Linked DNA regions of Kluyveromyces lactis. The protein of the gene in region 1 interacts with the protein of each later gene in a biochemical or structural test. Links are inferred from orthologs where the notes say so. Each region holds a gene or a part of one and is shown in the gene's direction. Other genes may lie near its edges. The genes, in order: KLLA0_F03839g and AVO2.

Region 1 (8,421 bases):
GATGTGAGATTTCACTTGTAATCTGTAGTTTCTAAAGATAACTTCTGCGTTTTGGGACTTGGAGATCTTATCTTCGTAGATATCGGTGAAGATTTCAGAAGCTTCAGGGTAGTTGGACCATTTGAAAGTATCCTTTTCTGGCATCCCACCTTGAACTAGTGTGTCTAGCAACAAGACGATTTGGTTGGAAGAAAACTCCGAGATATCTTTGATGGAGAATTCCTTTTCGAATTGCTCTCTTTCTGTGAATTTCTGTGCACTTGCAATCCATTTATTTGCTAATGCATACACATCATCCGCCAAGTCAGTGATTAGCTTTGGTTTAGGTGGCATACCAGGGGTAAAGAGCCACGTTTGCCAGTCCACAGATTCCAATATCTCGCGTTTATCATGGAAGAACTCGAACAAAGCATCCAAAAATTGCCATGTATCTAGAGATTGACGTGCAAATTTGGTAAAGTAGTGCTTGATAAATGGATCAAATACCTCTTTACCTCCTAACAGATTCTCTAGGTAGAATAGTAGGTTAGAGCCCTTTTCGTAAGGGACTGTCGAAAATGCATTATCAGGATCGGTACCATCCTTCAAATTTTGGACCAAGCAACTGAACCTTTCAGGGTTCTGCATAGCAGAAATAGAACCTTCCAAATCATTCCAACCAATCAACGAGCTGAAATGTCTGGTAGCTTCACCATGAATAGCACCAGTGATTCTTCTTTCTAAATACACTGTCCAACCTTCATTTAGCCAGAAATGGTCCCAGGAACAGTTTGTGACCAAGTTACCAGACCATGAATGTGCCAATTCATGTGCGATAACGTCGATGTTCGACTTATCATGGGCAATTAGAGTCGGTGTGGCAAATGTCATGTTTGGAGATTCCATTCCACCATAAGGGTATGAGTTTGGGTTCACCAAAATGTCGTAGGTGCCCCATTCGTATTTGAAAATGATGTCTTCAGCAGTGGTAATGAATTTTTCAACATCACCATCAAATTCCCACTGGGCGTCCTTTAAACGATAAGGTTCCACGTAAACTTTGGAACGAGGACCAATATCAGCGCTGGCCAAATCACCTGATGCGATACCGATCAAATATGCTGGAATTGGTACTTCTTGCTTGAAAGAGTAGACCTTAGTAGAATCATCGTAACCTGTTTGGATACCCGAAAACACAACTGGTAATTCAGACTTGATGTTGGCGAGATATGTAGATTTTACACTTGGGGTATCAAAACATGTGAATAGACTTCTCGCATGGATGGCTTCCAATTGAGAGAAAACGTACGGTTTCCCAGATGTTTGGTGTTCATCAAGCCATTGCAATGCTGTACAGTCTGCAGTTGTCGAAAATTGTAAGCACAAATGGAATATTTCCGGCAAAGAAGATGGACTAACAATTAACTGAGCACCCAATGGATGTTTTCTTTCTAACAATTTAAACTTCACGTCGTCTTCATCATCCACTTTGACTTTAGAGATCTTCAAGTAAGAAGTATCCAACTTGATAGTGTTTTCATCCTTCTTCACCTTTTCAATCTCGTAAGAGACAGAACCACTAATGGTTTTCTTTTTGAAATCAACGCTAACATCCAACTGTGAATGCTTTACCTTGAAAGACTTGTAATTGGAAAGTGTAGAATAGTCGAATTCCGGAGATTCTTTGGGACGACGTGATTCAAGAACAGGTGGAAGTGGCATTTTTCTCGATATAGGAGAGGTTTGGAAATATCTAACGTTCGATAAAGCTTTAGCGGGTAAAGATTTACAAGCAGCCGAAGTTTTATTGTAAAAATTGAAAAGCATACACTTGGCAGGGATGAGTTTAACGATGCGCCGAAGATGGAACCGCTTGAAAAATTAGGTAAAAGACACACAATTGACTAAATATTGGTCAACCTCAAAACGATCTCTCCAGTAGTTAGATATTAATGAAAAAAAAAAAAAAACACACACACACAATATTAAAACAAAAAGACAGACAAAGCTCTTGTTAAAGTTTCCACAATATAGGGGTAACAGGGGACAAATTAGAGCCAACTGAATTAGCCAGTACGTGCATGCACTTGTTTTCAAAAGAGAAACTCAAAATGGAAGTACAATATAAGAAAGAACGCCAAGATGAATGAGAAGATAGTATGTATTGTGCAATACCGGAGATTTTTTAACATTCGTTCATATTTCAAGAAGCAAAAGCTCAGATTGACACATTTTTTCATGTACCCTTTGTCAATTCATATTGTGTACCGGGTAATAAGTGTTTTTGACACATAGAGTAACCGCATGGGACAAATAAGATGGAATAAATATAAACATGAAATGTTCTCAGATCAAAGTGAGGAAAATTGTCACCACGAGTCTGTGTCAGTTGTATGTTCTTTCATTAAGCTGTATTAAGCGGCTTTAGGATGGAAACAATGACGTTCATTTGTAAGCATTTTCGCACTATAATGCCTTTTATTAAATATGATACTACAGTATGATTCATGGTGCTTAACATGAGACACTGTAACTACTGAGAGAACATCGATTAATGCGATCTATTATATGAAGCTATACGAACTTCTCAAGTATATGTAAAACTATCCAGTTCCATTTCGAGTACCAATCCCAGCCCATTCCGAAAAGGTTCGCGTAGAAATAATATTTGACCATTTCCTGAAACATATTAATCAGCCGGGCAAGTATCAGATGCAGTAGCGTCACTATACAGATAACGAATATGACACATGGCATGAATCTCTCTGAATATATGAACCTCTCTAATTTATTCAAATCAGACCCTACAAATTTTGCTTGTTTGTTCCTTGTGCCTCTGTTACGCAGACGTGCAGTTTTGCTCCTTGAAAACAATCTAGATATCGATGATGTTTTCAAACGTCGCAGCTTAATATTGCCCGCGTTCGTCTTTTGTATCCCATCATACGTATACACCATGGACGCATCTTTGGTGAAATACTGCATTGAGAGATACTCCCACAGTAGCTTTCCAGAGCTATTTTTCTTGAATAATGTTGGAACAGTAACGTTCTGCTCTTGAATTTAAATGATTCGCCGGGGGTACAGTAAAGACTTTGGATATCAGTCCCTTGCCTGCTGATCCGCTGATATGTCAATCACTTGATTCATTACTTTACTCAATTCGAGATTTCAATAGTCATATTGAACGAAACGTAAACAAAATCTGAGAAAGGGAAAACGATATTTCGGTGTCACGTGTCATTAATCGGAAGAGGTAACTGTGTGATCGGAGAAATCGCTCAGAGATCTTGCAGGAACCCCAGTAGCAACAAATACAGTATGCACACAGGTGTTACACACAACACTTCAAAGAGGTGGCTGAAAACATGACAAAGAGCAGAACACAGGTATCCAGTTGAAGAGACGGTTTAGCCGAATAGGACTTCTACTATACCGTCCATTTCGGCCAGTTGATTTCGACGTATGCCACACGTAACAAAAAAAATGCCTATGGATACAAGGAGATTCAGTTGAAGCAGAATATCCTCATCACTCTGTACAGGGCCAAACGTCAATACATGGTAATATATACTACTAAATATCATTCTTCCCACAGATCTATCCTGGACAGTGCCATTGACGTCTTCGTCCTAGCTTTTCACACCCCTTATCTGCAAGCTTTACACCACCAGGATCCACAGCATCCTTTCTCCAACCCCATCCATATGTATTGAACCTTTCTTTATCTCACAGAAGCATCGAATGCAAAAAATGGAAAAAAAAAAAATCATAAGAAAATGCTGTAGTAATCACCAAGTACAGTAATATTTAGAGGAAGTTTTGGGAGCCCAGCTTTAAAAATAACAAAAATTTGAAATTGCAATTAAAATTGAAACTGGGAAGAATTATTTAAGAAATTTTGCAAGGACCTCAAGTTCAGTACAATACTAGGGATTTGTGCTTCCATTTTCCCTTTGTTAAGAAACTGATACGATAGAACGTTAAAGAAAGCGTTTTCTCCTGGCGAGGTATTTTCGGTACTTTGGAGATAATTACGGTTTGAGTAGTTATTAAGGAATAAAGAAGGAGGAGCCCTTTAGCTACAAAAAAAAGAGAAAAGCCGGGCTATCGCAGACTTTATCATCATAATCATCATCATTATAGTTTACTTCTGATTTGTGCTTTCGAGTGATAAGATGTCCAAACAAAACACTATGACTAGCAGTATAGCCGATATGCTTTCGCAAAACCAACACAGTTTGCAGCAATTGCAGCAGCTGCAACAGCAACCATCTAGAAGTTTGACTTCTGCTGATTACAAGAATTTCCAGCAAAGCGGATTGAATGGAACTAGCGCTAACAACAGAGTTTCGGTTGCTGGCCAGACAATTCCTTATCCGACCGATAACATATCTATCGATGTGAACCAACCGCGAGGATCCATGTCAGCGGATGTTGTTGGCGTTCAAGGGAATGCAAATGCAACTGGTCTTGAAGAAGGAATTTCTTTCCCTCAAATGAATTCTTCCAAGAGACAGCAGCAGACGAATTCGTTGACTAGCTCGCATACGCATGTTAGCAGAAACAGGGCTTCATTGCAAAGACATAGGTCCAACGGTCAGGATCCCAGATCTCCTTTGGTGGTATTGATGCCTACTAATGCGAACCCTACAGAAGTTCTCTCTCAGAGATTTGCAGCATGGAGAGGTATTATCAGATCACTTCTTGTATATCTACAAGAAACGGTTTCCATCCAAGATGAAGTTGTAAGACAACATTTGAGATTGCAGCATGCAATTAACTTCCCATTTTTCACCATTGATAGCCAACATCAACCTACCACTCCAGAGGACAAGAACATTCAAAAATTCTTTTTGCCTCTAGGGCACGGATCTATTCAGGATCTACCCACCTTATTTAATCAGTACCATACGCAAATGGTCCATGCAGCATCAAAGGCCTCCAAGGAATTGAGTCAAGATGTGATCCCCAGATTAGAGGATATGAGACGTGATCTATTGGTGAAAATTAAAGAAATTCAATCTTTAGAGTCAGATTTCAAAAATTCATGTAACAAGGAACTTCAGGAAACCAAAATTCGTTTAAAAGCTTTCCAGGAATCGTTGGAAAATTCTAAATACGGATCTGTGAAACAGGATCCTTTCCTAGCGAAGATCCTTTTGGAAAAACAAATCAAGAAACAGTTGACCGAAGAGAATTTCTTGCATGAAGCTTTTAATAATTTACAAACTTCTGGTAGGGAGTTGGAAAAAGTTGTTATGATGGAAATTCAAAACGCTTTGACCAGTTACGCTAAAGTTTTAGGCCAAGAAGCTCAGATAGTGTTTGACGTTTTGATTTCCAAATTGGACACTGGTTTTTTCAATAAAGATCCTGTCTTTGAATGGGAAAACTTTGTCGCTAAGGACCCAAATTTCATCGATCCTAACTTACCAATGAGACGTGTCAAAGACATTGTTTACAAGAACCAAAATGATCCATTCACGTACGAGATTAAATCTGGAATTCTCGAAAGAAGATCCAAATTCTTGAAATCATATTCTCGTGGGTTCTATGTCTTAACTCCAAGTTTCTTGCATGAGTTTAAATCCGGTGATAGGAAGAAAGACTTGATTCCCGTAATATCGTTGTCTTTGAATGACTGTACTGTTGCAGAACATTCCAAGAAAGGATCTTCAGACTTTAAGTTTATATTGCATACAAAACAAAACGGGATTATCCACAGAGGTCATAATTGGGTTTTCAGAACAGATTCTTACGAATCTATGATGGACTGGTTCAACAATATTAAACAGCTAACTTCTACCTCCAATCCTGTGGAAAAAGCTAGATTTGTCACAGAAAAATTGAACTTGGATGGCTCACATAATAAATCGGTATTGACACACTCTACACCACAAGGCAACCAAGCAGCCAGAGCTAGTGTTGACAACAATGACTCGATTCTGGCAACCCCAAGGACAGAAAACGAGATACACGCTTTTTCTGAAACTACAGGTAACACCACTTTGAACAACTCTAATATCGAGCCAATGAACAAAGCATCGCAGTTTTTAACCCCTAAAAATCCTCGTAAATCAGGCCAATATTCATTAGAAAATTCTGCCAAGAATAACGTGTAGTAATCTCGCCAAAATGGCACCATGTCACCTCTCTCTGCTAATACTTCCGAAACAAAATTGTAACAAGTATGATGTCATGTTTTCAAAGCAAGTGCATATACGAACTGATATCGAAACATCTATAGCTTTACTTCATTGTCTAAGTAATGTAACAATTTATATAATTCAAATTCAACTGAACATTCTATTATGAGTCAAATTGAGTTCCTCCAACACCTCGTTCCATGAACGTTCAAACTCTGAATCAGAAAATTTTGATAAAGAGCACATCTTGGCTCTATTTGAGATATCAATTCTTTGTACAGTATTCAATTTCGATACCTGAGCAAATAACGTGCGTAAAGAACTATACTTTGAAGAATCTTTGGCTAGAAAATCCGGATCAGTTTCATCGATGAAGAAAAAGCCGGTTTCATTAGCTTTGTCAGTACTTTGTTCATTCTTCTTTGAATCCCATGGCACTACAATATCATAAAGAGGTCCAGCAGAAGCATGACATAATGGGATCAAACCACTTGCCATATATTCCACGACAGCTATACCAAAATGCTCATTCCACATTGCGTTTATACCAAACCATGAAGAATATAATATACTCTTCATATCATCATATTTACAATCAGTTTTGAAATCCACTAAATGGGTTGGAATTTTAAGTGCCTCAAAGGCATACTTCTTCAGCGTTTCAACATATTCCCTATCCTCTACGTTTCTTGTTGATCCTATAAATATTATTTTAGGAATCAAATCTTTCTTAGTCGTAGCATCGATGAAAGAAGAGAAGGAAGATAATATCAATTCGTGTCTTTTTTCTGGTCTAAACTGCGCAATAACAACCGCTTGATTTAGTCTTTTAACTGGATCTGATTTGTCACAGCCTTCTATCAATGATTCTGTGGAACATGGTGGATAAATAATGTGAATATTTTTTGTTGAGGACCAGATGGATTTAATATGATTATAAGTCCAAGTTGAATTAGTCGATGCAATTTCAACAAATAAGCCTGAAAATTTGTATGCGAGCATGAATATTTTCCAGTAGACATATTTACCGATCAGTTTAAAGTTTGTGTGAAATCCTGGCATAGTTTTTAGCTTTTGTAGCATATCTGTTGAGATGACAGGATAATGGGTATACGTTACAATTGGAATCCTAGCAAACAAAGATACAAAGGGATAAGCAAAAGGATATCCCATTGTATCTATCCAATAATCTGGAGCAAGTGTAGTAAGCGCTTCAATGGACAAAATGATGGAACCATAAGCTTGGCCTAATAGCGTAAATTTCGGCCAACTTTTTGATTCTACCAGTCTTCTCTTCTGTAGGAAAATGAATACTATTCTGTCCGAATCTAGATCGTATTCAAACCTTCTCCGCACACTGTTCAATATATCTGATCCATTAACATCTGTGTCTCCGGTATAGATAACGCATATATTGTTTTTATCCTGATTTAGCGATGTCTCAACGGCTTTCCACAAGACTTTCTCTCCACCACCACCAGCGTTACAGTAAGGATGGAAAAACCCTAAGAGTTTACGCTTTGAATCAAAACCCAACTTATTAACGAATGACTCTCTCTTTATTCTATCATTGTATGCTATATGAACCCTATCGCCATATATTTTGTTTGTATAATCCGATGGCCTTTCAGAAGCTAAAATAAAGGCTCTTCTAACAGAGGAGTTCTTCCAACCAAAATCCAGCACAGGAATCCTGTTCAAATTGTTTGAGCATTTTAGAAGTGAGTTATTAACACGTAACCTTACTTTCGCTGGTAGAGTTACTAGCAAACTTGGTATGAAGGATGACAATACTTTCAATGTAACCAATCCTGCGAGTAAGCTGCCGAACACGTACGTGACAAAATCAGCCAGCTTCATTGTTTGTATATCAATTGAAAAGTAGCCCAGGACACGCGGCTGACTTGTTTAACTCGTAACTAACGTTCGCTAATATATTTATATCAGGACATTAAGGCAAGATTTTCATATATTGTACCTCATCTTTTATGTGTAAAATAAGATTGTTCACAATCTGAGTTTCCTTATCGTTGAAACTGAACCGGAGTTATCCGCATAGACACGACAGATCTTAAAATAAGAGAGACTATAAAAAGGAAGGCGGGTGATGCTTATACAAAATATGTATATGTTACCTACGAATGTGGATTTGATGAACCATCATTTCAAGTGCTATTTTCATTTGATTTTGAACGGTTTAAATGGGAATTCGTTCTCACCTATCTTTAAATTCAATTACAAGTTCAAGCAAAGGCCCATAGTCGTTAGTCTTTAAGATGTGGAATTCTTCTGA
Region 2 (7,238 bases), about 2.0 Mb from region 1:
TCTGTACATTGTATATACAGAAGTCATCTTCCGCTCGTTTTGACTAAGGTCACGTGACTTATTTAAAGTGTATTCTTTTTTTTTTGTAATTTTCCCTGTAGAAAAGAAACCTCAAAGATTCACCATACGTGATATTCTCAAAACCGTATATAGAAAATTTTCAGCTCATCGCACCGGACAGGTACAGAGACTTAACTTGTTCTTACAGCAATGTACTTATCAGTACTAAGATTCGTTTAGTAAGAAGGATATTATTTACACAGCTCAGTTGTACCAATCCACCCTGACATGAGCAATTCTCTTGAAGAACGGTTGAAATCGAATTCTAGCGCCTTTGAAGGGCTACTTTCGTTGATACCTGCGAAATATTACTACGATGACAAGACACAGGAACAATGGAATGCCAAGAAGAAGAGCAAAGGGCAATTGAAGGAGGATAAGAAATCGAAATTGGATCCTGAGCAGCAGGACGATGAATCCAGCTCTGCCCTCGAAGTTATGAAGAAGAAACAAGCTCAGGCGAAAGCTGTGGTTTTACCAGGCCAAAAGAAGATCCAACGTGAACTACTAGACGCAGAGTCTGAAACATCGTCCGAAGATGATGAAGACGAAGAGGACGAAGAAGAGGACGAGGAGGAGCAAACCGAGGAACAAGAATCTGACGAAGTACCGGAAATAAACATTTCTCAAACTTTGGGCGAATCTGAGAGTATAGCGGTGATCTTTGATGATGATGGAAACCCAGTAGATCAGAACAAACAGAAGCAAGAGAAAGAGCGTATACAGAAAAAACAGGAGGCCATCGAACGTACCAAAGATGACTCTTCTCAGAAGAAGAAGAAGATGGAAGAATTACGCTGTAAACTACAGGAGAAAATCAAAGCTTTAAAGGAGAAAAGAAAAGCCCCAGGAACCAAGGTGGAAGGTGCGCCAAGTTCAAGAGAAGCTATTCTTGCTCAAAGAAAACGTAGACAAGAGGCAAGGGCCACCAAGTTAGATTCTGAAAAAGCTGGTGATGTGTCTTCTGATGATAGCGCAGATTCTGATTCGGACTCGGATGCAGAAGATGCTCACGTTTCCAAGAAACATCGTCGCAATGGTGATGAAGAGATTTCAGCCAAAGATGTTATGTTCCAAAGTATTCAATTCAATGACGGTACAAAGGCTACATCTGATTTATCGCATGTAAGAAAGGGTGAAAGAAAAAAGGGACCTGCCAAAAAGGACGTTAAAGCTCATTTAAGACTGCTAGAGACAAAGAAACAATCATTAGAATCAAGAGATGAATTGGATCAAATTAAACTGAAAGAGAAGGAAAAATGGCAAAAAGCCATGTTGCAAGCAGAAGGTATCAGGCTTAAAGATGATGAGAAACTACTTCGCAAAGCTTTGAAGCGTAAAGAGGCTAAGAAGCGTAAGTCGACCGTCGAATGGCGTGAACGTAAACAAGTGGTAGAAAACACTGTTGCCGAAAGACAGAAGAGAAGAGAGGAAAATCTACAGATTAGAAAGGACAATAAAGGTAAGAAGAAGAGCAAACAACAGAAGATGAAGAGAAAATTCAAGGGAACTGCCCATTTGAAGAAAAGAGCAGGATTTGAAGGACGTATGAAAAGTGTCAAGAAGAAATGAGCCTTAATCAACTAATATTCTCCATCCAACAAATAAAAGCATAATATCATATTTCATCCTTTCAAGTTATAGATTAACCTTTTACTTTTACTTTTGCATCTCTATTTTTATATACTGACACCCAATGATATATAAAAATAAATATAATCAAACCCAGAATGTAATAATGCATAAAATCTCTATTACCATGTAGTCTTTAATAATGGATTTCAGAAGCCAATGTGCGGTTATTTCTTTTCATTCATTTTAAACTGCGTTCGAAAAATCATGAAAATGGTTCAGACGCAATAGTATAGATGAAATAAGGTATCTCGATGAGATGAGGTTGAAGAGGTTCACTCCAGCGAAACAAGGCAACGTTGCAGAAGAGAAAGATTCTATATTGCATAATGCTGAATGTGATAACCTGTCGAAGTCGATTAAGTTTACTCGTTACACCAAGACAACTTCGATATATACGAACCAAAAGTTTATCAAATACTATCTCCACTATAAAGAAAAATGCTGATAATGCAATGCATATACAGGAGAAGCAAGACATTGCTGTTTTGAAAAAACATGACTTCACTGAAGTTGATATAAACTCTGGTGTGAATTCTTGGTTCTTATCATATTTAGCGGTGACAAATCCGGGCTTCAAGAAATCAAAGAAGAATCTTCGAAAATTAAAGAAACAGAAGGAAACCTCATTGAAGGATGTGGTAGAATACTTACTTCTGGAATCAGAAAATGAAATAAAAAGACTTCAAACCATGTCTCCCGAAGAAATTAATCGTCATTTTACTCAAAATAAGGATAGCGAAATATTTGACGATTCCACGGATATAGAAAACCTTGATGAAAAAATTATACAACAAGTGGTTTACGATGAAATGAAACCCAAGCTACATGCATTGACTAACACAAATCATCTTTTAGATTTATTAGAGAAGACTTTATCCGACACATCAGTTGTCGATAAAAGTCAAATTATTTCCTTAGATCAAATGGTACAAGCATTTGAATTATCGAAATTGATACCTAATTTGAAATACCGTCTCAGAGGACAGTATCTTACTGGCCAACTAATCTATGGACTCAAGAAAGTCAGATTGGACCCTGGAAATGAATCCTTTTACATTGATTCTCTTTTACATTTCAGGAAATTCAAAACTGCAGCAGCATTGTTCGAGAGTTATAAACGTCGTGTCAACGAGCGGTGGTGGTATGAAGTTGGTATGATGATTTATTTGAGGAGCAACAAGTTCCATAAGTTTAATAATTTGTATTTGGAAACAATGGACACGTTTGGGGAGAATTATATTAGACCTGATGTCATACTATCCGCTATCAGAAAACTATTGTTCGTAAGACATGTGCAAAAGGCCAGACAATTGACAGATCATCTTCTGTCTATGGTTAAGACCTATGGTTGGGCGGAAGATAATACTAGTGAAGCTGCCGCTGGCGGACGCAGCACAGTTTCAATGTCGAGGAATGGGTTTTTAAACTTCAATTCTTCAGAGGAAGCGAACAGCTTTCTCAATGAGAAACAAAAAGTTTCGAAGAAAGACTACTTATCTATGATTTCCTCATATATAATATATGGGTTCAGCAAAGAAGGTATGCAATTATTCGCCAATTTTGAACAGTCTACCAAAATGGACGGAGTACTATTCAATACACTTATTGTGAAATTAAGATTACAATGGCTCAAAGAGTTTGACTCGTTTGGAAAAGCGTTAGAACCATATTTATCACCAGACGAGGCAACCAAGAAATTAGAGCAACTAAAGGGTTGGTATAATGATGCAATGGAAAAACATAACTTCTCCAAAGTTAGAAATAGTTTCAGTTACTTGTTGTACGGTAATGTGAACGATTTGGTTAGATTTAGACGTGTTTCCGATGTATTACAGCAATACTTACTAGAATTCTTTTCTGCGGAATCTGATGAGCAAAACTTAGAGTTTAAATCTAAAAAGCTACAAATGATCATAAAGCTGCTTCTCATCGGTGATCGTGAGGATGCTGCATTAAAATTACTATCAAAGTTAGAAGAAGCAAAGAAAGAAGAAGCGAACAAAGATGTAGTCAAAAAAGGCGCATCAGTTTATCCTCCAGTAAATTCTCACCATTATTTTCTTTTCACCGAGTACTATCGAAACAAGTCGAATAGAACAGCCGAGCTTAAGGTGGAACAGATGATCCAGCGTGCTAATGAAAACAAAGTGAAACTCAATTCGTTGTTGTTATTGTCATTACTTAGACATTTTTTCTGCCAGGAGAGATATGAAGATTGTATCGTTCTAATTAATAGATTTTTCTCCACTTCAGAGTCTCTTGGGTCAAAGTCTTGCGAAATACCTCCACGAAAATTGTACAAAGAGATCTGGAAAGTATACCGAGGATACTATAGACTAATAAATTGTAAACTAAGAGGCAGTGATAACTGGATACACACTACGGTACAGAAACGAAAAGACATCAAAAGTAGACTTGATTATAAGATGTTCGATGTTTTTAATAAGATGACTATCGAGCACGGAACTCTTTTGAACTATGAACTTGTAAATATAGTTATAAGCGCATTCACCGCTAATAAAGAATGGAATAATCTATTTGCTGTTCTATGTTACATGCATGACGTTCAGATGTTGAACATTACCCCTTCCAGGGTAGAATATGTTAGGAAAGGGTTAAGGAAAGATTATATTGAACAACTAAAGATGAAGTTGGAAAAGCGTGACACACTTGACACTGAATTAGTCAGATCTCTACGCTTTAAATTAAAAGAAATAGAAGACAAAAGAGCCCTCAACAACCTAAAACTCGCTGGCATAGATGACGAGGAGAACTTCCAAAATTTATTGGCCGATCTAATGGAATATTTACGATTGATCAACTATAGCAAAGATCAATTGAATGAGAAGTTACAGCAATTAGGGTTGAATCCGAATGATTTGAAGTTTCACAGATACGTTGAATGAAGATTACCTGTATATATCTAGATAAGCGTTTTAATGATTGCATTTTTTTGGTATTTATTTTTTGCTTAACTTCAACCATTTAGGGGCTTTGGTCAATTTCCTGGTGGGCTTGGGTCCTTCTGCAATGGATTCCCCACCTGAATTCTCCTGTATCTTTTGTTCTTTCTGTTGTTGTTCTGCATAGGCCTTTGCATTCGCCAAAAGATGAGGCTTTAGATATGGTGGCGAACAATCACCAACCTCCACAAGAACTAGAGTTTTCTTACTAAATCCAGCATCCAAGAGTGTAACAGTATCGTCATCCTTTAGTTTGATGAAAGGGCTCGACAAGCTGACTGAGACCTGCGCAGCAGCAGTCTCTATTAGTGATCCCCTTATAGTCTCATATAACGAATGGAGTGTACTAGTAACACTCAATTGATAATCCAGCGCAGTTCTATCCGGTAACCTAGCTCTTATGTAAAGATAATCTATACTTTGAGCTGCCTGAGCGCTAGCAGAATCTTGCCCCTCTTTCTGTTCTCTTAACCTTTTGGTCATAAGTGGGCCAGTTGCCAAGTTCGTCCCTGCTCTATTGGCCAATAGTTTCTGATACCTTAAGGCATGATCTACAGTTAAGTTATAATTGGCATCGTTCACATCAGAACCATTAACGCTAGTTTGGTCCCTCGGTAATATCACTTTCGGATGATGATTAGTAGAATTATCGGCCATTGAATGAGTTAATATAGTACTTTTCTTGATATTCTCCTTTGCTCATCACTTATTCTTCCATTATCAATACAGCAGTTTAACAGGGTTTTTCAGCTTCTGGCGTTTTCACTTGTCATTAGTAGTATATCAAAATTATAAGTAAAAAAAAGAGAACAATAAACATCGAGCGATAAAAAGTACAATAATAAAATCTTAAAATAAAGGAATAACTTAAATCAATGTATTTACCCTAGAGTGAAGAATAGATGGACAGAAAAGAGAGTGAGAAAGAAAGAGAGAGAACAGTTTGCACCTATAAAATTTTGTTCCAATGATCCCTGAGCCAAGGATAAGACTAAGAGAGGCGATTGTCCAGGGTAAATTGGGCGTTGTGAGAAGAATTCTCAAACGATGGCCAGACCTGCTCGAGAACATCGACAGTACGAACGGCTGGTCATCGTTGCATTACGCTGCATTCTACGGTAGATACTTGATTTGCCGCCATTTGATCCAACTTGGTCATGATGCCACTGCAATGTTAAAAACCTACGACGGGGATACGTGTATCCATTTGGCAATTACGAAAGGGGATGAACAAACAGTACATCTATTATTGCAGCATTTCCTCGAAGAAGGGTTGAACCTGCGAAGCAGCAGCGCCAGAAGATGGGCGCCAATCCATATAGCATGCCGATCGAACCATTCCCGATGCCTGGCTCTTCTCTTACAATGTGGCGCGGACGTAACATTGGAAGACGAAGAGGGAAACACAGGATTACACGTAGCTATGGAATACGGCGCGATCCAATGTTTGCCGATTTTGCTGCAATGCGGTGGGGCAACATTAGCCGATGAACAGAACCAAATGGGGATAGTGGCAAGACAAGTCGGAAATTGCGACGAGACCATCAAAAAATTCGACCAGTTTGCCGCCGAGATAAGAAAGGGCGTCAGTAGCGGCAGTAGTACGGTACCAATTGGCACGCCAGATATAGCAGCTAGCAAGACTTTCTTAGGCGGTAACAATGGGCCACTTTCTCCAGAGCTTCGTGGAAGACGCAGCATAAAAGATTTGAACGATTACCTAAGCGCTCCAGGTGCTATCGTGGATGCCTCCCCTAGAGCTACTACCGTGGCAGTAGACGCCGCTTCAGTTTCTGCTGCTTCCACAGCGGCATCAGAAGCCGTTGCTATCGGCCCGCCGACCTTACCGAGATCAAGGGAATCCAATTCCAACAGCATGGGTGACCCGGAGTCACCCAGCATCCCATCGACAAGTAGGTTACTCAATGTGGCAATAACCAAAGTGAGAAGAGGTGAAGATAGCACTGCAGCGCGATAGAACAGTATATATTTATCTATCGGAGATTTTCTGGTTCATCATCTTTCATAAAATACATATCGTAATGTAATTTACAGCCTGGGTTGAATTGCGATCTGCAATTCGGACATTGCAACGAATCACTGTATGCAGCAAACGACATTTCAAGTTTGCATACGCCGCATATGACCAACGGGACAGTTTCGTCGTTTATATTGTACCTTTCTGTGACGTGCGGTACCAATTCCTGGTGACACTCGTAACATGCATAGTATCCGTTACAGCATTTGAACCGGAGGGCTATAACGTCCAGTGGACCGTGCCAGTGTTCACACCGACTTTCTTTATCCACAAGTTTCCCATATATCTGTGCTTTTTCCATGGAGATGGGTGACCAGTTATACTGCAGTATACAATTCTTAAATATGAAAGTAATATACTCTCAAATCCTCGATATTGAGTATGGGATGGTTAACAGCTTTCAATTTGAATGTTTTCGAATTTAAACTATGTGGGAAAAAAAAAGTAGTGTGGAAAGAATATACATAAATATATAAATGAATCGTTAATTTATAGATGATTTTAAGTTATTTTAAGTGCATGAAGATGATCCCGTCTTGCGG

The links.
Region 2: the proteins of KLLA0_F03839g (region 1) and AVO2 form a complex in vitro, tested with the Saccharomyces cerevisiae proteins (2 studies listed by BioGRID). The link is inferred for Kluyveromyces lactis from reciprocal best matches to the Saccharomyces cerevisiae genes SLM1 and AVO2.

Annotation. Positions count from the first base shown.
Region 1 is NC_006042.1:361,660-370,080, reverse strand, and holds KLLA0_F03839g (SLM1 family PH domain-containing protein), read left to right. Parts: upstream 1-4,157; coding exon 4,158-6,104; downstream 6,105-8,421. Other genes in the region: LAP2 (bifunctional aminopeptidase/epoxide hydrolase), read right to left, coding at 1-1,806; KLLA0_F03861g (uncharacterized protein), read right to left, coding at 2,554-2,964; alpha-1,2-mannosyltransferase ALG11, read right to left, coding at 6,276-7,988; MOB1 (Mob1p), read right to left, coding at 8,344-8,421. UniProt on the Saccharomyces cerevisiae protein: Together with SLM2, acts as an effector of the TORC2- and calcineurin-signaling pathways. Phosphorylated and activated by TORC2 under favorable growth conditions. Mediates actin polarization via inhibition of calcineurin-dependent transcription.
Region 2 is NC_006042.1:2,410,659-2,417,896, reverse strand, and holds AVO2 (Avo2p), read left to right. Parts: upstream 1-5,625; coding exon 5,626-6,636; downstream 6,637-7,238. Other genes in the region: ribosome biosynthesis protein RRP14, read left to right, coding at 289-1,632; SOV1 (Sov1p), read left to right, coding at 2,022-4,601; UBX4 (Ubx4p), read right to left, coding at 4,656-5,315; HOT13 (Hot13p), read right to left, coding at 6,653-6,997. UniProt on the Saccharomyces cerevisiae protein: Component of TORC2, which regulates cell cycle-dependent polarization of the actin-cytoskeleton and cell wall integrity.